4 linked regions of the Drosophila melanogaster genome follow. The protein of the gene in region 1 interacts with the protein of each later gene in a pairwise test. Each region holds a gene or a part of one and is shown on either strand. Other genes may lie near its edges. The genes, in order: Awh, kmg, Ravus and twe.

What was found.
Region 2: the proteins of Awh (region 1) and kmg interact in a two-hybrid assay, tested with the Drosophila melanogaster proteins (one large-scale study listed by BioGRID).
Region 3: the proteins of Awh (region 1) and Ravus interact in a two-hybrid assay, tested with the Drosophila melanogaster proteins (one large-scale study listed by BioGRID).
Region 4: the proteins of Awh (region 1) and twe interact in a two-hybrid assay, tested with the Drosophila melanogaster proteins (one large-scale study listed by BioGRID).

What each region holds. Positions count from the first base shown.
Region 1 is NT_037436.4:3,844,492-3,849,841, forward strand, and holds the start of Awh (arrowhead), read left to right. Parts: upstream 1-1,714; 5' UTR 1,715-2,250; coding exon 2,251-2,256; intron 2,257-5,350. UniProt on the Drosophila melanogaster protein: Probable transcription factor. Required for the establishment of a subset of imaginal tissues: the abdominal histoblasts and the salivary gland imaginal rings.
Region 2 is NT_033779.5:13,158,036-13,163,884, reverse strand, and holds kmg (kumgang), read right to left. Parts: upstream 3,359-5,849; 5' UTR 3,299-3,358; intron 3,093-3,298; 5' UTR 3,080-3,092; coding exon 1,523-3,079; intron 1,466-1,522; coding exon 779-1,465; 3' UTR 732-778; downstream 1-731. Other genes in the region: DnaJ-H (DnaJ homolog), read left to right, coding at 1-335; Pk34A (protein kinase at 34A), read right to left, coding at 3,767-4,941, 5,003-5,006.
Region 3 is NT_033777.3:13,261,901-13,266,529, forward strand, and holds Ravus (ravus), read right to left. Parts: upstream 2,162-4,629; 5' UTR 2,099-2,161; coding exon 2,067-2,098; intron 2,007-2,066; coding exon 959-2,006; 3' UTR 833-958; downstream 1-832. Other genes in the region: CG11686 (uncharacterized protein), read left to right, coding at 138-221; Su(var)3-7 (suppressor of variegation 3-7), read left to right, coding at 2,616-3,400, 3,835-4,419, 4,488-4,629.
Region 4 is NT_033779.5:16,258,084-16,263,534, forward strand, and holds twe (twine), read right to left. Parts: upstream 3,795-5,451; 5' UTR 3,508-3,794; intron 3,423-3,507; coding exon 2,142-3,422; 3' UTR 1,331-2,141; downstream 1-1,330. Other genes in the region: EndoGI (endonuclease G inhibitor), read left to right, coding at 31-96, 166-1,179; CG4935 (uncharacterized protein), read left to right, coding at 4,117-4,195, 4,256-4,374, 4,438-4,510, 4,567-5,097, 5,179-5,303. UniProt on the Drosophila melanogaster protein: Required during meiosis. Regulates the transition from the extended G2 phase to the onset of the first meiotic division.

The sequences.
Region 1 (5,350 bases):
AACAGTTTAAAGATATATTAATTTTTTTCCAGTGCAGTGACAGGAGAACGAGAGCCAGCAGGCAGCAGCATTTAATCCTGCAAAAAAGGCATTGCGAGGCACCATAAAATGATGTTAATCCTTAAATAACGTGAGCAAAGCAAAAAGCGGAGAAAAAGTGGTAAAAAAAACGGGGGCAGGCAGAAGGATTGGCGAAGGAGGAGGCGGTGGGGGCCACTCGACTGGATGATGGCGACAGCCAAATGCCAATTGAATGCCAAGCGGCTTTAAGAGACAGCCCACGATCAAAGAGACAGTGAATGAAAAATGGTGCAAAGTAATGGTTAAAGTGCTCGAAATGGAAATCCTCAAGGGGATCGGTGTTGCACATAAAGCTTAAACTCAGGCTTAAATCAAAGTATAAAGGGGACAAAGGAAACTGGAGTAACTTGAAGAGTTATTTAGCACCAAGGAATCATTAATAATAGTACTTTCTTTAAAAGTATTAATATAAAAGCAATATATTGTTATTGTTGTTATATTATTATTGTTAAAGCCATGCAATTTAATTTTATGTTAAATAAAATAAAATGTTTTTAACTTTAAACCTTTTTTTCTTTGAGTCAGTCTGCTGCGCTATCATGTTTGGCATGCCATCACAAACAGCCAACAGAAATAAAAAATATATAACCGAAAAGACAGCAGCATCCACTGGCATCAACTCACTTCCCCTCCATCAAGCGGTTTGACCCCAAAAAGTCAAGTGCGGCGGAGCTCGAGTTCCGTTTTCCCTCTCCCTTACTTCCTCCCTCGATATTCGGGTTTTCCTGGACTTTTACTCACTCAGGCAGCAAAAAAGTCAGCAGGAAAAGCAGAAATGACAGTAACATCAGTTGAAGTCACGGTGAAAATTATAGTAACAACAATATACTTACTTGAAAAAGCAAAAGTGGCAGTAACAACAGCAATATTATTGAAAGGCACAACAATTCAAGGAGAATCTTAAGTGGAAATATCCTGAGTAAAAGCAAAAGAGTTAGAAGCAACATCTGTTCCAGTAAACGCAGCAGCATGACAACTGTTACAACTGCAACAGGAGCAACATTGGTAGCTTTTCTAGGCAAAAGTAACCACAACAGTGAAATCTTTTCTAGGAAAAGCTGCTACAACAGATACTGCTTTATAAAGAACAAAAGATACAGTAACAGCAGCCACACGAGTCTCAAAAACAGCAGCAACAACATCGAAAGCACCAGCAATATGACAGAAATTCCTTCGAGTAACAGCCATATCAGTAGAAATGGCAACATCGTCACCAGAGCAACACCCACCCAATTCGCGGCACGATTTCACTCCGAGTTTCGACTCGATTCAAGTGGCCAAGTTGGCACGCGCCGGCGCACTCAATTGGTGCACAGGCGGCGCGGACTGGGAAAGCACTCAAAATGGGGGACACCACTGCGGAACTCGTTATGCGGGGCGCAAAGGGGCGTGGCCAGGCGGGCCAATCACCACCATTCCCGTTGCGCCGACGACAGATGTGCGCTCAAAAACCAGTTGAGCGAGTTCTCGAGTCGAGTTTCGAATGGGACTGACTGGTGGTTGTGGTTGTGCGTACGGCTGGTTCATCATCATACCTGTGGTGGTGGCGGGCATGCCATGAGCATATGGAAACCGGGCGTGAGCCGAGCCAGTTGAGCACCACCACCAGATCCCTGAGCTCGAACCCCGAGCGCCGGCAGTTAACGCAGTGGCCTCGAAGCTGTAACAACATCTCGCGTCCGCTCGATCCGCTCGATCCGCTCCGCTCCGTCACGAGAAAAGCGAGAAGCGCTCAGAGTATCTGCAGTGAAACGTGTTATCGTGATAAGGTTCTACGAGTATTCCATGCCATAAGGTGTCGCACATTATATTATTGAAATCGAAACGCAACATTCGCCGTCGGCTAAGAAAGTGAACTGTTATCGAATGTGCTAATCAAAAACAAAAAAAATGTTGCAAGCGCCTGCAAATTGATTTCTATCTCGGATATGCGAATTTACACTGGTTATTAATAGATCTGGTTTAAGAATACGATTATATAAGCATCCTATGCAGACGGCGGCTTCCGTGGGACGCTTGACAAACTGATCAAGTCGTCGTCTTTATCATCTATATCTCCTCATACTGGCTGCGATCGGGCTCGATATCGATTCCCAGGCTAAAGCTGGCGACAGATTTTCGAGCAAGATACTTGGATTAACAACCGCCAAAATTGTGGAGGCAATTAAAATGAAGGTGAGTCTCGATTGCTTTATAAAAAGATAGATTGAGTTGTAAAAAATCAACTTTATTGCTATTGGAAAGAGGAAAGTTATCAGTCTGTGTATTATAAATTTCTACATTTTTGAATAAAGTTAGTCTTTAATATTCTCTATTAAATTAGACTGTAAGTGTTGCATGTTCCACCCGTATTGCTCGGCGTTTGAGCGGTCTGTTTGCACACCCCCTCAAAATGAAGTTTCTGCTTTCCTTTTTAATTGCTGGACATAAAGTCCAGTAGACCCCGAGTGACCCACAAATCAGTTTTTTATGTAAAGTTTCCTAGCCCGCTGCGAGCATATTGGGCCAGAAAACGCAACAGGCGGCGTTTGCTCGACCATTGGGAGTAAAAAAAGAAGTGAGCCGGAGTTAAGACAAAAACCGGAGCAAAACAGTTTCAATTCAATTCGAAAAAGCCAGCACACTAATAGCGGCTGGAAAACGATGAGTTTTCAAAAATATGGAGACGACACAGGGCGGTGAATATGAAAAGCACACAAATCGCACAGTGGGGTTCCTCCCATCGAAAACACTCAGCGAATAAGCCACAGATCGCAGCCCACACTTTTGGGTATTACTCGAATATTGGCTGTGAAATGAAGGCTGATATTCGGATGTATCTGCAACCAAACCCCAAAAATCATATTCAACTTGGCCTTTTTTTTTTTTTGTTTTGTATCTTTTCAAGACATTGCATTGATCGTGTCGCCTAGATGATGTTGCTCAATCCCTTGTTCATTCAACAACACATATTTTTTGGTTTTTGAATTTCGAATTTGATTTTGACTTTGATTTTATTTCATACCCAGTCCGAAAACGTTTAATCGATTTTTACACCCGCTGTGCGACGGGCTTTTTTTGTTGTGTGTGTGAACCACCCACAGGATTTTCGAAAAATATTTGCCATGAGTCTGCAGAGAATCGATCATGATTTATGCTCGCCGATGATCGATTTACCATGGCTTTGTTCGACGAGCATAATTTTCATTACCATAGCAAATTGGACAAGGTGCTGACGCTTATTGCTCTGCGATATAATTTTAATCGCCCGATTTTATTTAGCTAGATTTCTATACGCACCACGGTCATAGGGGGAAAAATCAGATCAGCGGGGGATCCGCTTACAATTCGAAGTCCAGAACTCAAATGTCAACAGTTCTGAGGTGCCGTCGATGGTCAAGGGGCATGGGGGATTCTCGGCGAGAGACCTTTTCTTGACATCATCGATCTTGACCCGGCCCAGATGTTGGTGGATCCCCCCCCTTCCACATGTCGCCGCCCCGCTTTATCATCCAAATCCAAATCCGAAAATGACGCCACTAGGCGCTGCCTTATGAATATTCAACAAAGTATGGAGATGGAGTCTTTTTTTCCCTGCTCTTAGGTAGTCAGTCGGAGAAAGAGATATAAAAAAGGCATAAATATTTAAGCGCTTAAATGTCGAATGCCTGCGAAGCAGCTATAAAAAACGTATATACATATTTCAATAATCGATTTTTCATTAATAATTCACAAGAAAATTGAAAGATTGGAAAAAACTAAACCTCCCATAAATAGATACACCAAAAATGTTTTGTGTAAGAAGTCGTTGACGCCTCCATCTGCGGTTCGAAAAAGTTTTCTTTAATTGGCAATTGGGTATTTGAAGGCGAACTAAAAATACAGAGTGATTACAGAGATTTTAGGATTTGACTTTCTATATCTCCATCTACTTATTAGCTTTGAGTGTTTGACAAAACACCTTTTGAGGATTACACGCCTAACTCCATTGTCCCATAATCCCGCACAAGAAACCAAAAAAAGGAGCGCGTGCCGATGGCCAAGATTTTCCTACTTACCAAAAGGATGTTTTGCAAAACCAGCTGCCTGGCCAGCGGTCAGCAGATTTTTCAGCAAGCCCCCTAATAATTGGATTCCCAAACAAAGGACATTCTGAAGAGTGTCCTGTGACCACTGGTCGAAAATGCCTAATTGTCAACGCTGACAAGAAGTCTACGCCTCGGTTCTTGTCTCCTTGGGAAAACAATGGGCAAACGGAAAATGCATCTTGACTTGAGCCAATTGCCCCGATCAGGGACAAAGAGAAACAAATATCACACCTTTGTTTTGGGCCTCGAATCCATATATGTAGTATGTACATACCTATTGACAATAGATGCCAGAGTTCCTGGTCAGTTTTCAGTCGGGTTGCGCATGCGAATTGCAGGAAGAGATCGCTGGGTAGATGTGTCAAAATCGCAGCAGCATTTTTAGCAGGTAAATGCGAGAAGTCCTCTTCGAATGAACATCGAATGCAGGAGGCACAAGAGGTCCTCACAAAACCGCACAATGGAAGGCGAGTCGAGTGTCTTGCCATTGTTCGTTCGAGTGCATCCACAAAATAGTCCTTAAAGGACGCTTAGTTGGCCTACAAATGATGCATGGCCCTTGGGCCTGTAAAATTGTAAAATGCCACAAATCATTGCCACTCCTGTCTGCCGGCAACTCAAAAAAAAAAAAAAAAAAAGAAATCAAGGAAGATAGAGACCCAAACCCGCCCCTGGAATTTACGAGCCAACCCCTAAATGCAAACCATTCGATTTCGATTTCTGGCAAAAAATTCCAATAAATAAAATAAATGTCCTTTTGCCAGTTTGTCGCCTGAAAATATTCGCATTTAATTGCTTGACAATTGTAAATTGGCCAAAAAGGAATCGTTTTCGTATTACAAACTGTAGTTCGCATACTATATAAGTTATCCCACATTTTCAAAAGAACTTGATTTTAAATAAAATGTATAACACTTTCTAATATACATATGTATCGCTACAAATATGCCACTTGATTCGTTCTTGCCACTTTGTCATCAAAAAAAATTTGTTTTTAATTGCCTGACAATTGCAAATTGAGCCGATAGAGAATTTCAATATCATTTTATCGATGGCATCTACGAACAGTAGCCAAAGTGATTAGTTTTAGGGAAGCGAAACTAGTTTAGAACCTCTTTGCCGTTTGAAACTCACCGCTAAAATCATTCAAAGTCACCCAAATAAATTATCGGCTAGAACTTTGGCGGTGGCCCACAAAAAAC
Region 2 (5,849 bases), on another chromosome or scaffold:
ATGGACGAAACGTCTGTCTGCGCACGTACCCTGGTGAAGTGTTGCAGCACAACCAGATCAAGATGGTGCGAGGCAGTGGTATGCCTGTTTTTAACAAGGCCACCGACAGTGGAGATCTCTACATGAAGTTTAAGGTTAAGTTTCCGGACAACGACTTTGCCACGGCACCGCAGTTGGCCATGCTGGAGGACTTACTCCCTCCCAGACAGCCGATAGTGATCCCAAAGAACGCCGAGGAAGTGCAAATGACGGACTATAAGCCGCAGCCACGACAGCAGGAAGACGAGGACGGACAGTCGTCTCACTTTGAGGGCGTACAGTGCCAGACGGCTTAGTGCATGTGGTTGTGGCTCCTGCAGGCGCGGTATCTCTGCCTCGATTTGTGGCTCATCCTGGGCACTTTCAGCGTAGATGAAGTCTGCTTCCTGGTGCCGCTGTTCGTCCTGATATGCATAGTATTATTTTTCATACAGGAATGTTTGCTGTGAAAAGCGCGTGATCTAAATTCGTAGTGTTATTATTCGAGACTAAAGCTTAGCTGATCTGTCACTAATACATTAGCCACGCTAAATTAACTATTAACTACTTATTTATTGGTACCTATTTTTTGGGCTGAACTTGCCCCAATTATCCCTACAAAACTATAAACGAATACACAATAATAGTTCTCTCATAGAAATCTTAAAAACCGGATAAATTTAAATCGATTTACGTATTTTTATTTAATTTTTAATATTGTTGCTGAGAATTGAGTATTCAAAGATTCGAAAGATCCGTTTTAATCGCTTTCATTGGATTCATCAGCGGATGTCGTTTCGTCTGATTGACCACCATCTGTCTTGGTCAAATTCATAGGCGACCCTTTGGGCTTTGGCATGACTTGTGATGAATTCAATGATTTAAATGACAAGGGTTCTAAATTTGGCTCCGTCTTGGCTCCCTCTTGCGGCAGCTCATCGCTGTTGCCTGCCAAGTCCTCCGTCTGGTCATCCCTGGGCTTTCGTAAATCCAGTGCCGAGGTCGAATGAGCACTATCCACCATCTCGATGATCTCCTCCGTTTCCATGGGATGATGGTCGTCTAGCTTCTCCGGCGGCATCACAATCATTTCACCCGTGCGCATTCCCTTCGAATCGGCCAATTGTTCGGCGCTTACCTTCATCATAGTCAGATACTGATTGTACTTGGCGTAGTTGCGCCTACCGGTCTCATCGTTCATCAGCACCTGGGCCTGGTTATGGGATCTATCGCGGAGGGCCTTCAAACGGATGTGCTTGGTGATGTCCCAGCGCCAGTTGGAGCGATAGGCGCACAGAGAGCATTCAAAGGGCTTCCTATTTAGATGACCAACGATGTGGACATGGAAGCGAGATGCAGTGGCTGCCCAAAAACTGCAATGAGGACACTTAAAAACCTTCTTCAATGGCGCCAAATCTTCGGGTTCCTCTGGCAAAACTTCTGTGACCTGAAATTAAAGGGATAAGTTTGCAACACCATGTACTTATATATATATGGACTTTACCTCCCCATAGCCAGGAGCTGTTTCTACGCCGCAATAACTGAGATCAGTGGGAGCATTGGGGAAGTCCTCATCGTGAAGATCCACCTCCGCGTTGATAGAAGCCTGCAGTTGGGTGGTGTTGTGCAAGGCCAAAGTGCACACTTGTAGATGGTTGATCAACTGCATGGCATTGCCCACCCGCTTCTGGCAGTGTGAACAAACGATCCCCGAAGTCCGGGGAAGCAGAGATTCTGTCGATGCAACGGTAGCACCACCATTTTTAAACGTTTCTGGTTTCCTGGAACCACTTGACTGCTGATCCACCAGATCCTCAGCCTCATCTCGGCTTCGGTTGCCCATTTGGTGAACCGGCATGGGCACATGATGGTTTGATTCGTGTATGGTCAGCGATTGTTTGATATCCGTGCTAAAGTCACAGCACGAGCACTTGAAATGGCCATTGGCACCATGGTTCTTGGTGTGCCGGTCTAGATTCCACTTGTAGGGTGTGTGAAAATCACATGAGCTGCACTTGATCAGTGGCATGGAATGGTACTTCACATGCTTTTTGAATCTGGCTCGAATGGGCGTGCTATATGAACACTTCTGGCATTGAAACTGCTCCTTACCCGACACCAATTCACGGGTATCCGGCGAAGGACTCTTCGCAGTCTCCTCGGAATCGGAGCTGCTGTTTTGCTGTTCCAATTTCAGGGACTCTGCTTGCTTAGGCGGCATTAACTTGGTCTGGAACTCGTAGGCCATGGAGAATATGTTGTCGTGGCTCTCGACGATCTGCTGCAGCTGCAGCATCTCCTGCTGTCGATTGTACGCCTGGACACTGGCCAGTAGCTGCATCTCTTGCTGCTGCAGTTCTACTTTCAGCTGCTCCAGTGGCGGTCCATTTTGGATCATGCGCAGCACGCTGAGGTCTAGGCATTGCCCAGTCGCACCCTGGCCTTCAATGCTCTCCTCCAGACGACGCTTGCGCACCTCCCTGGAGAGATTTCGCTTACCACGCGGCTGAGCACCTGATCCCTGCACTGCGCCGCCATCATCGGAACAGCCGTGCACCATTTTCATGTGCCGCACCAGCTTCTGGAAGTGGCGTGAGGCATAGAGGCACAACTTGCACTCGTTGATCACAATCCGCTCGCCATGTACGTCCCGCAGATGCGAGAGATGACTGCGCGGATTTTGCGTGAAGAATGCGCACTGGTTGCAGCTGTAGTTACGCCGTATCTTGCACTGCGGCAGCTCATCGTCGTTGTTGTTGTTGCACGGATTACCATCTGGCAGTGAGTTCTCCATATTTTCCTTGGCCAAGTCCCCCGGTGGTGCAGAGTCTGCGGAAACAAACCCGGCCATCGATAGTGGAAACATAAAGTTATTCGCCTTATACTGCTCCAGTTGTTGCTCCAAAAAGTCCTGACCTATTAGCGGCTGCACGCTTTGGGACATAGGAAGCACAGCACCTGCTCCGCCCTCAATAGATGACTGATAAAGTGGAGCACCACTAACCAAGCTGCGCACCACCAAGCGATCACCCGAACGCTCCACCATTGAAGGCAGCTCCATGACTTGACAAAATCTGAAACAAGCAAAATTTTCCTTGGATTTTTTCACAGAACACTTTTCAACCGTCCGGTGCGAGTTCTCCTGTAAGACTGATTCACTTTTCCGATGGTCCTGCTAAACTTCTTTTGGCTTTTCCAAGGGCTACTTCGATATGACAGAAAACGAGTTCTCAGGGACGTGAGATGTTCAAATGCCAAATAAAAAATTCGTAGTTCTCACCGAATTAAGGTTTAGGTTTTATTTTATATTTTATAAAAATAGCAATGTCATTCTTTCTTTCACATAACCACAATTTATAAAACTTGCTTCTTGGGTGTCAATAAAAAACGCATGGTTCCGGTTCAAGATTCGGTTCCAAGTGTTTATGTGGTTCCAATGTTAATGTTAACATAAGCCTATTTAATTTTAGATTTTAATAAATAAGAATTATTGTAATAAAATATTAAACATTTCTTAGTGTATCTATTTTGCATCTTAAGAAAAGTTTTTTAACAGGTTTTATTTCCATCCAAATGATAATTTCATGTTATCGCTGAAATGTTATTTAATATTATTTTGTAATACATTTTTATTATTTATTTTTTTTCCTTTCCAGGGCAGGACACTTAACATCAGTAACAAGAGGACAATTAGATATTTGAACAACCTGAAAAATCCCTGCCATAGTTAGTTTATTTTGAAAATCTTCTAGACTGCTTCAAAGGCTTCTACGACCGAATACTTGTCCTCCATTGAAGACAAATGGATCGGTAATAGGTTGACCCAAAGTTTTGGATCTGTACCCATCTCCAGGCTGTTGAAGTCGAACAGAGGGGGGAGCGGATTGCCATTGGGCATGGGCAACGCCATGGCGTCCATGATGCGCAATTCATCATAGGAACCATGACTACATGCCATCATAGGTGAGATTCTAGCGGCGGCTTCATAGATGAAACACGAGTTCAACAGACCGCACAGATCCTGCGGAACAGCCGTATTCAGGAGATAATTCCAACTGGGACGAGTGGTCCGTGGGTGAAGTGAATTTCCACACTTTGAGAGTATTTCAGGAGCTCGTTCCAAGCCATCGGTGCCCAGCATATTAACGATGAGTCGCAGCTGCTTTCGGTCATGTTTGTGGCTGGAGAAGAGCGGATATCCCTTGAGCAGCTCCGCCAGGACGCAACCAGCACTCCAGATGTCCACGGCACACGAATAAAGTTCGTACCCGGCAAAAAGCTCCGGAGCACGATAAAGCCTGGAGCAAATGTAGCTTATACTGGGCTCCTGGGGCACCAGGAGTTTGGCGCTTCCAAAATCACTTAGCTTAAGCACCATCTTCTGGTTGTCTATCAGCAGATTCTCGGGCTTGACGTCCCGGTGGGAAATGCCCAATAGATGAAGATATCCCAATCCTCTGAACATCTGATACGAGAGTATGCGGACATTGATTAGGCGCTCTGCGGGCTGTAGCACCGTTAGGTGATAGTTGATATAGTCCAGCAAAGTCATAGGCATGTACTCCATAACCAGCAAAACGTAGTCCACTGACGGAAAGCCCAAACTCACGGACGAGTGCATGATGAGCCGGACAATGTTGTTGTGGTCCTTTAGCTGACCCATAATTTCTGCTTCGCCCTGGCTCAACTTCGGATTGTAAAGGGTTTGCTTAACGGCCACTATTTCCTCGGACTCATTCACATGAGCCTGGTAAACCCGGCCAAAGGATCCACTTCCAATCAGATCTTTAACCTCAATCCTGACCAAAGCAGGTTCCGAACAGAGGCGACCGACGGCATAGGTGCTGATCACTGAGTTCTTGGGAATGATGAGTGGAACTTGGGCATGGCGTTTAAGGGGCTTTTGCTTCTTTTCTTTATTTTCTTAAGAAGAAATGAGTGATTTGAAGGAAATCCTAAAGAATTTTAGGACAAATTGACTTACCCATTTTTAACGAAACTCTTAAAAAATAACTCAGATTTATTTCTCCAATAAATCTAGCAAGGCAATGGCTTGAAAGGAATAGTACGAATAGCACTACTGTCACTTTTCTTAGGCATTGCCACCTTGTTCGATTTCAGGAATCGTATTGTGAATGGAAATATAAGTGTTGGAAATAAAAACTTTAGAGTTGCCGAGGATTCTTTCAACCTCAACAGGTAATATGGAATATATATGATATATAATTTGTATACATTTGTTTCGATTTTGCCAGCAGAAAGCCAAAAGTGGATTATGTATATGGGGCAGAGTTTTAAATGCGATAAAATGTCGTTCGTCGGTTCGAGCCATTATCATTTCCGCTTTAGCCGCAACAATCTCTCTCTCTCTCTCTATTCGTTTAGACTGCTTTCACCCCCCACCACCTCCGTCAAAGTTTATGGGCCATGCATTTGCGGAAATGTCGCCTGCCAGTGTATTCTCGCTTTTACTCTGCGGTTCAGAGTTGGAATTCATGTAATTCCATTAACACAGACAACTTCCGCTGGAAGAGAGAAAGGACGAGCACTCACACTAATGGCCGAAGCGTGTATGTGTGTGTGTGCGTGGGAGGATGGTCTGGATTTTGGTGTATTTGCTCAAACGGATTTTGTGTCGGAATCCTTAGATAGTGATGATTCCAAAAGCTTGTCTCTTTTTTTGCAGAGTCCAAATATTGTTTAATAAAGGGGTTATAAAGGGGTTTCGAAACCGGATGTTATCGTTCTGATTTGAAAACAAATATTGCATACTTCCAGGCGACCACTTAAATAATAAGCCAATAAGAGATTTATAACTTTGATTGTGTAAA
Region 3 (4,629 bases), on another chromosome or scaffold:
TTAGTCATTTGGGGAACTTATCAGACCCACAACCGGAGCTTATGGGAAACCGCGATAGCTGGCCCCGATATGTAGACCCACCCACACCCATTGCCTGGAAAAACATTGCTAACCGATTTGTTTTCTTACTTTCGCAGGGCATATCGGACATTCTGCTCCAGGGAGTCCAGTTCCCGTTCTACTGCGGGAAAGCCATGTTAGAGGGCAAGCAAGCTTTTTAAGGGGGATATTTCCCCAATATCAATTAACTAAGTGCCTTACTGATAACTCTTGTTTTCAATCATTTTTTACAATTTTACAAATAAAGATTTATTAACTTATATTTATAATTACTGGCATTTTTTCAATTGATTGATTCTGATTGATTCAATCTGATATTACATGTTGTTTGTTCGTTACAGTTGATAAATTCGCCTGATGGAGTGATTTTTACTATCTTTACCTACAGAACATACATTAAACTATCATGCGATAAACTTTTTATCACATGGTATTGTACATGCGTAATATTTACCCTTCAGAGAATTCGCTTTGTATCATTCACAATAAGTAAATCACAATTGTTACCCACACACAAGAAGTGGTTTCCATTGATTACAGCTCTTCCGTGATATCATTCTCTGAGAAAATTCACAATTTATACTTTGCTGGCAAACCAAGGTCAGGAAAACACTTTTTGAAATGCAGTTAGTGAAATATTAAAGCGAACCTAATACCTTAATGAGCCCATTTATTGGGCACTTAAATTTCTAAACGGATGAAATGTAATGAAGCCATTTCATAGAACAAAAACACCATCAGATAGATTTAAAGAATAAATGCACGCCACACTACAACAACTAATAAATAACTTTATTAATGAAAATCAGTTAACAAAATTAAAAAATGAAAGCACTAGCATATATTCTAATTGCCGTATTGAGCACGGTTTGGAACCGATTCCAAAGTCCAGGTGAATTTATTTGGTGGTAGAAGCCACTGTCGCATTCTGCTGACCACTGCCTGAGGCTTCAGCTGCTCCAGACCTGGAGTTTCCCGCGAGATCCGGAAGTCCGGCGACCTCAGAGAGCGCCTCCTGTTCGCAAAGAGCACGCAACTCGAGCTCCCCAATGAGCTGCATTACCCGGATCTTACCCTCGGTGGCCAGTTTGGGCGGCAAGTTCTTGACGGTGGCACATATGCTGTCGAAGAACAGCTCCAATGAGTCGCGCGGTGGCGTTATAGGTGACAATGGTTGCAGTTGATAAGATTGCAGCGGGCGGGCAGCATAGGAGGGCGTCGTGTGTATAGGCGTTATGGTGGCCTTGGAATTGATCTCCTGAGCTTGGCACATCCCACTGAGTGGAGTACTGTGCACTGGAACTTTTTTAATGGTGATCCTGCATGGCGGAGCTACTGTTGCTGTTGCTGAGGATGTGGGATAGGCGGAGACAGTGGTCGGAAGACTTTGAGGCCCCTCGTTGATGGTCACGTGTAGTGGCAGATAATCCAGCATGCCAGAATTCTGTGAGTCGGTCTCCGAAGTGCGGCGCTGCTGCTTAATGACGGGCTCCGTTTCGAGATCATTTTGTGCTTCCAGTTCTTGAGTCCGCTTCTCATCGTCCTCGCAGTCGCCCTCTGTTTCGTCAAGTTCTCCCTCCTCCTCATCTTCTGTCTCGTCGTCTTGGGGATCTGTTCCGTATTGTAGTAGACCCTCCTCGTCCTCGGTATCCTCCCACTTCATCGCACCGGAGCTGGATCCATTGAAGCTCGAATTGTTTGCCTTGGCTGGCAATGATTTTCTTTGTGCATTTTCCGAGTGCTTAATGCTACCCTCGTGCTTTCCCAGATCAGATCTCTTGCAGCTGAGCCTGCACTCGCACACCGCGCAGAACACGAAGTGCGGATCCGTCTCATCCGGGAGCAACCACGGATATATCGCCTGGTACTCCGGCTTTGTCTTGGGTCGAGGATATTTCAGCAGGGCGCACGGCCGGCGTGGCCTGTATTCGGAGCGTAGGGCATCTCTGGGCGGCGAATATAGTCAGTGAACATAAGACCCTGGTCTCTTACTTTGGTATACTCACAGTTTTTCCTGAGTTAACTGGAGGTTTGACATTTGGGTAGTCTTTTCCAAAATATAAACAAAATCCAGTGAGGTATGACCGTGCGCACATGCATAGAAATACCGCATAACCCGTTTTGCACATGCTGTAAGAGTTGTCACCCACACCGGTTGTTTGTTTCTACACACTTTATTTTAAATATTCAACGATATATGAATCATATGCTAATGCATGTAATTTCTTTATATGCTTTCTAAGCATAATGTTCATGTAGTTATTAAATAAATAATTGCAGTTATACTATGAACAGTACGTTTTAAGACCGTTCTCAATAAAGTGACCAGTCCAGTCCCTCAGTTGCATTTTATGTATTTTTTGAACTTCCTTAGTATATGGTCCTTAGCCCGCCGGTTTAATGCAACAGTACGGTCACATTGGCCATCGCCTTGACAGCGATTCTGAGTTTTCGCTTGCGATTATTTTTATTTTTTTAGTTTATAACCGTATACTGTGATCTCCCAAAAGCTAACAAATATTAGAGCAAAGTGCCTGGATAACCAGTATCTCGTGATGGATCGGGATTCGAGCATGCAGGCGAAAAACCTAGATGCTCAATGCAACCCAGACCTCAAAATGGCGTCTGCAAATTCAGAAACTTTAGCGTCGGCAACGCACGAGCTGAAAATTATGGACGTAGAGGGTGGTGCTCTGGTGGATCCGGATCACATCGAGGAAGTGGAGACCTCCATGGTCATCGTGGTGGATGATGACGATGGGGATGTGGCCATGGTGGTGGAGGAGGACAAGCACCCGATGCGGGATGACCCGTGTATTGAGGACATCATGGATGACGAACATGCTCCATTGGTGGCCGAGCTACAGTCCGCTCTAAATAACCCAGACGACAAACAGGCCAGCGAGGATCCCCTCCTGGAAGACCAGGAACGTGAACCCGATGCCATGTCCACTAAAACTGAACCCTCCAGCGATGCGGAGAGCTCCCATTCGTACCACGATCCCATGGGCCTGCTGGAGAGGATTGAAATCCATGATCCGGGAGACAGCCAGGATGACGACGACGAGGATGACGAAAGCAGCAATGGCGGTGGCGTTGACGGAGGCATGCGCCGCAAGATGCCCCGCGCACAGCGCTGGCTCCTCTGGATGAAGCGTTGGCCCTGGATCCTACACGAGGACTCCGATGGCACCTTAGCGTTCTGCCTTTACTGCAACATATCCATTAACGTGAACAACCGCTCTAGACACATCCAACAGCACAACGTGTCGCTCTCCCACCAGGAACGCGAGTGCAACTATCTGGCATTCAAGAAAAGTGAGGAGGAAACTCGAGGAGCGTAAGTGTCACAGTTTTAAAGATTACAAAAAAGAGTACAGAAATCTAAAATTCGGAGAAATCAAGTTAATTAATCCGCCGTATAAAGTAAAAGCTCAACTCTTCAAATGCCTTTCACTTTGTAAAGGGTTTGTACCGAAATCCAGAAAGCCCACTGTAGTGTGAAAAAAACTGCCAACTTAATGAAGGGAGCACTGCTCCGAGTCCGCATTAATTTTCCAACGTGTAGCAATTGTTTGACACAAAGAAACTGGTGTATGATAGGCTTGGTCGCGGTTCAGAATAGATTTTACATATATTACACTCCCTGCTTTCAATGAGGGTAGCTCTACTCGTAATGTTAGTAAGATTTGCACCTTTAAAAAACGAAATACCGAAATCATATTGAGATCACCGAAAGTTTGCGAACACTTATTAACTCCCAATTATCCGTAGAATCAGCGACAACGAAATCAAGCACGAATTCGGCACCAAGAGCTATGTGGCCGCCATGAAGCAAAAACGAATCTCCGAGACCGAGGCATTTAACAACTTCAACTGGCTGCGTTGGCTCCGTTGGCATCCTTGGCTTGAACGTTCCATGCCCACAGGGACCATCGGGACATGTCGCATCTGCAGCGTGCGAATGAACGTGGAGTTTGTCTATTTGCGCAAGCGCCACGAAACCACCAAAGGTCACATGGAGGCACTGCGCAACCTAGATTCCGATAAGCGGAGTCGGAAGCGAAAGAGGAGCAAGAGCAACAGCGTGACCAATAGCGGCGGGGATGAGGCCGAGCGAGAGAAGGAATCTGAACCAGAAGTTGGGCCGGAGGATGCTCAGGACACCCCTGTGGTTATGATGAACGGCGATGTGGACTCAGGCGACGACCCTGGCAAGTGGTGTGCACTGATTCCGGACACCAATCCACAGCAATGCCGATGTACGCTCTGCAACTGCACAATGGCGATTACCAGCTTCCTACGGCACTGTAAAACCAGAGCTCATTGTCACATGCTATCGACACCCGCTGAAAAGGGGTGAGTTGACACTCCTACAGAACGTAAATAGCACCTGTTCTTTAACTGCTTTCACTTTTTTACCTCAGCTCTTCAGATATTCGCGGCATTTGGGCCGTGTTCGCCGACATGCATCCTTGGTTGATTGCTGATCCCGAAGACCCCAGCATTGGGTACTGCAGCGTCTGTCGCAAGCGATTCATGTATGGAAACTCAGAGATCAAGCGCAAG
Region 4 (5,451 bases), on another chromosome or scaffold:
ACCTTAAATCGCCAATTTATCCAGAGGGGAATGTCCAAGCGCAAGGCCGAGGACACACAATCCGACAAAATGGCAACGGCCGAGAAAGTAGCACAGGTAATAAGCAACAGCCATAGAAAATAAACAAAAATAGTTTACAAACAATAACAACTATTGTCTGGACAGAACGATTACACCATTGGCCTGGTGGATCCCGTTAAGGATTACCAAAAGCTTATCGAAACACGCGTGCAGGTAGACGAAATCGTGGATGATGATGTCACCAAGGAGAATTTCGATCGAACGGCTGCAGCGGCGCGTGACGTCATCTGGCGGCTGTTATTCGACGAGGCCGGTACCTCGCAATCGAACACAGAGAAGGCCAGCCAATTGCTGGAGGAATACCGTGGTGACGCCTGCTTCTACGACCCGACGCCGTACAACGAATGGATTGTCAAGCTGAGGGATGAGGTTCTAAAGAAGGAACTCCTCGACTTTTGGCGCGATGTGCTGGTGAAGAAGCAACTCGGTCCCTGTTGGTCACGCGACAGTGATCTCTTTGACAGCGACGACACCCCGCCATTGGAGTTCTATGCCCATGCCGGTTGTACCGCTCCATTTGCAGCCAGCTTAAAGGTGCGCGCAGCACTCGAGGAGCAGGCTTCGCTGGATCAGGATGGGCCAGCGACGCCTACAACTCCGGGTGAACTGAGTGCCGATGATGCCGCCGCTCTGTCTGGCGAATTTGAGGCCACCCTGACCAAGGAAAATCCGCTCGAGGAATACCGAACTCTAATGAAGCGCTTTGTTCTGACCAAAATCATCGTTCCGGACAGCGTTCACCAGGCCAGCGTGAAGAAGATAGCGGCAGCCGCCAGGGAGATAATCTGGAAGCTGCTCTTCGATGGCACACCCTCAGCGGAGGATCAAAACAAGGCCGCCGAGCTGCTGCAGGAGTACAAGGGTGATGCTGGTTTCTATGGGCCCGACGACTACAACAGTTGGATTTTCAATCTGAGGGATGAGGTTCTCACCAAAGAGCTTCTCGACTTTTGGCGCGACAAGATGGTGAAAATGGAACTTGGTCCCAGTTGCGCCCGCGATTCCGACTATTACGACAACGAGGATCCGCTGCCATTCGAGTTTTACGAAAAGGCTGGTTGCAAGGCTCCCTTTGAAGGACCTGTAAATGATGATTAGTAGTGCATCTTTCATGACTGAAGGATTGTTTCCTTATGTACTAAAACACCTATTCTGGTCGTAATCTCTGAAGGCACACACAGTAAAGCATTTCAATATCTGAATTATGTTTCGAAATGTTAGAAATTGTTTAAAAATGAATAAAATGATAAGTATTTTATAACTGTTCTCAAAAATAGTGGTCCTTTTTATTATCTCGATCAGTAACAAATTATTTGTTCTCTTCATATTTCTTCAATAGCTTAAAGCATTTAAAATTTTGTAATATATATAAACTATAATAGCATATAAATTAAGGAACATTTTTCTTCATTTGATTTAAAATTTGTATCACGAATTTTCTTGAAATATTTTATGAGTATTCTTACATCTCCTGTTCTAATTAAGCATTATGCATCCTAAAACTTTTAAATTGTGTATTAAATGATTGTTTTTAGATACTTTTAATAAAAGTTGACCGATGTAGGTGGAATCCACATAAATAGTTTCAGCATAGTTTGTATTCATACATAGACAATTTTCGTAATTTCCTTTGAAGTTCTTAAATCCAATGGTTAGATTATTATGCTTAAATACTAAAATAAAATATGAAATACTTTCTTAAGTTAACTTTTAAATTCCGAACACAAAAATGAACTTTAATTAATTTTGAAACTATTACATACACTGACTAGAGAACATATATCCATTTTCTGTTCTTCTTCCCATCTTTGGTGGTTCCCATTTGGGTGCTCTGTGTCCACACAACGTGGAACATAATACAAAATCAAGAACTAAATAAATATAAAGTGCTTTCACAACATTTGAACAACGCAACAAGAAATGAACCTTAAAATGTGCGTCCTTAAATATTACAAAATAATTCTATGAGTAAAATTGGGCAGCCATCGTTTCTCATTGAGATCTCTGTGAGCTTATGGCAGGTGGATCGATTCGAGAATTGTATCTATAGCCTGAAATGGTCACTCGGCGTAGAGCAGTCGTGAACGTGATTTCCGGAGGCCGCGAGAGCCTCCACCGCCGATTCCACTGTCTCCGCCCTCGCCACATTGCCAGGACTTGGTCTTGGCCCGAAAATATCGAAACTCATCATTGTGCGCCGGTGCCAGCATTGGTACATATTGGCTGGGCTGGCATAGCTGCGAGTATAGACCGAAGAACTCCTTGTACCCATTGTGCAGGATATAAAGTTCAGGATAGTCCAGTGCCGGATAGTTGTGGGTATGCTGACTTCTGTCGTTGCTCCGCAGGTAGCGCAATAGCTTGGGACCCCGTTCCGAGGAGAACTCACAGTGGAAGACGTAGATGCGTCGATTTTCCTGATTGGAGGTCAGCGTGGGAAACGCCTCCTGTATCTGCCCACGTGTGTACAAATTCTTCGCTCCCCGTATGTGTCCGCCAAGGAACTCGTATGGGTAACGGCAGTCTATGATCTCGTATCCGCCCTGGCTTCCCAATTGTTCATCAAACTCGCCCTGAATCAGTCTGGCCAATGTGTCACTGGAGATGGTCTTTAGATCACGATGTCTAATGCCTGTCGCCAAACAGGGCAGGGTACATGGCTTGCTGAGATCTCCGATTAACTCTGGTTCATCTCCCAGTGCTCTCATGATCTCGGCGTCGTTCATTGATAGAGTTTTCCGTTGCATCTTCTTCATGGGCATGTTGGTCTCCTGATCTGGTTCTTGAACCGCTTCCTCTGGCTGTTCACTGGGATACATGCTAAGGCAGCGACGCAGGGAGCCTTTTTTGTTGGACATCTCCTCTAAATTGCTTTCCGATTTCAGCTGTCCGCTGAGGAGCACTTCCAAGTCATCGGGCAACTCAAGATTGTGATTCTCGGCTGATTCCATTTCGAACATGTCCATGTACTCATCATCCAGCGAGTTGCCCGACTCGTAACTCGAGCAGGAGCTACTGAAACTGCCGAGTGTTCGCGAGGACAGGCTATTAAAGTTATTCAGGGTCCTGTTGGCTGGGATTCTCTGGGTGGACTTGGGAGTGCCATCCAGGCGGGCTCCATTCATATTCTGCGACAATTCGGTGATGGGCGACAGAACGGTGGTGCTGGCAGGAATATGCCGCTTCAGCATCCATTGCAGCGGAGTCTCCTGCACGGCTGATTTTCGCCTTTTGGCCTGGTATTCCATATCGGCATCATGGGGATCGAAATTCTCCTGACCACACGCTCCACTTTCATCATCTTCTTCCTCCACATCGAGCATTAGCCGCTTGCTCGCCATCTGCGCGTTAAAAAGAAAAAAAACAATGATTTTTTTATCAGCTGGAAGCTGCTAAAATCAGCTGGATTTTCGCAATTGTTCTTACCCTGATCTATTTGCGATATACGTAACTATTGGGAAGTTCAGATTTTGGGTTCCAGCGTGCGCAGTGATTTCGATTGCCAAATCCTTGACGATTTTCTTGTTCTGTCGACTTGTTTGTTTCGCTTTTGGCGGTCAACTTTATTGGCGCCTTTATCAATTCCCCATTCTACCGATGCAAACCCACCACCTGCTAACTCACCACTGCGCCGTATTTAAACAGGACGCTCTAGTTTGAATTTAAATTGCTTGTATATTTTTTTGTTGGTATTTGCATGGCTGGTTCAACTTTATTTGACAAAGAGCAATGAAATTGAATTTAAAAAGCGCAGCCATCTTAATGATAACGTGTTCTACCACCATAATATGCGATGAAATCAATATATTTTCAATCAATAAATTTGTACTTTAAATAGTTATAAGAAAAAGATACATAGAATAATCGTTAATGAGCGTAATAAAATAAAAACATTCCACAATTATAATTATGAATCATATCATTTTTCCAGTGGAAAATTTGACAAAAACATATTAACATTTATTACATCTGGTCACACTGTCCGTTTGTTTATATTTTTCGTGCTGCAGTTGTGTTATTGTTTTTAATACAAATATGCCGGAATTTGAGAACTTTAACGTAAAAACCACAATTGACTGCAAACAAGGTGCAGTGCGAGCTGTGCGCTATAATGGTGAATGGTTTTCAGTGCCCGATTTTTAAGCATTAACTCATCTTGATCCTTAATCTTTAGTTGATGGCACTTATTGCTTGAGTTGTGGATCTGACAAGAAGATAAAGCTGTGGAATCCGGCATCGGGATTACTGCTTAAGACTTATGGTGGTCATGCGGATGAAGTCACCGATGCGGCGGTATAGTTTTTTCTCACTTAGTATTATTCTTATTATTAAGTACTCCACTTTGGCATATTGCAGGGAAGCTGTGATAGTAGCTATATCGTTTCCGCCAGCTTGGATAAAAGCATTATCTACTGGGACGTGTCAACGGGTGAGTTGTAATCACAGCGCACCAATTATGGCTAATGTTTCTCTCGCCTATTTCAGGAGCACCAGTACGGCGCCTGCGTAGCCATGCCGGAGGTGTTAGATGCGTCTGCTTCAACGAGGACTCCTCGATAGCCATTTCCGGGGGTCGAGATAATGCCGTAATGTGCTGGGACATTCGAACGCGTCGCCTGGATCCCGTTCAGGTGATGAAGGAGGCCCGGGACTGCATCACCACGGTGGCAACCAACGAGAATCGCATCTACGCCGCCTCCTTGGACGGATGTGTGAGGACCTACGATATTCGGGTGGGCGAACTTACCTGCGACAAAATTGGTGAACCCATCACATATCTGGCGCAGACGCGCGACGAGCAATGTCTGGTGGCCGGCTGTCAGGATAGTGTGGTTCGTCTGCTGGACTGTGAGACCGGCGGATTACTCTCCGAGTACAGGGGACATCGCGGCGATGACTACCACATCGAGTGCGGAATACTGTCAAACGATGCCCAAATAGTCACGGGCTCCAGTGATGGAGACGCCTTTGTTTACGACCTGCTCGATGGGAAAGTACTGCAGCGCATTCGCATAAGTAAGCAAGTGAAGTTGAACTTTGATTATTAGCTATATACATATATTAACATGTGGGTTTCCTTTGTCATATATCCGTCAGGTGATAATGGCGGCGTCGTCCACTCCTTAGCCACTCATCCCAAGCGACAGGAAATGCTTTTCGCCAGACGACGGGACATGTATGTCTTCTCGACAGATTTGCAAATCGAAGAGGAGCAATTATAGGTACTCATAATGCTGTATAGTTTTACCAAAAGCTAGTGATATAAATAATATAGTTATAAAATATAAAGACTCCTTCAGGAGCCCACCTCATCAAAATACCCGCAAACATAAAAAATTGATTGTTTTGTTGAGGGAAAAAGGAAAAACC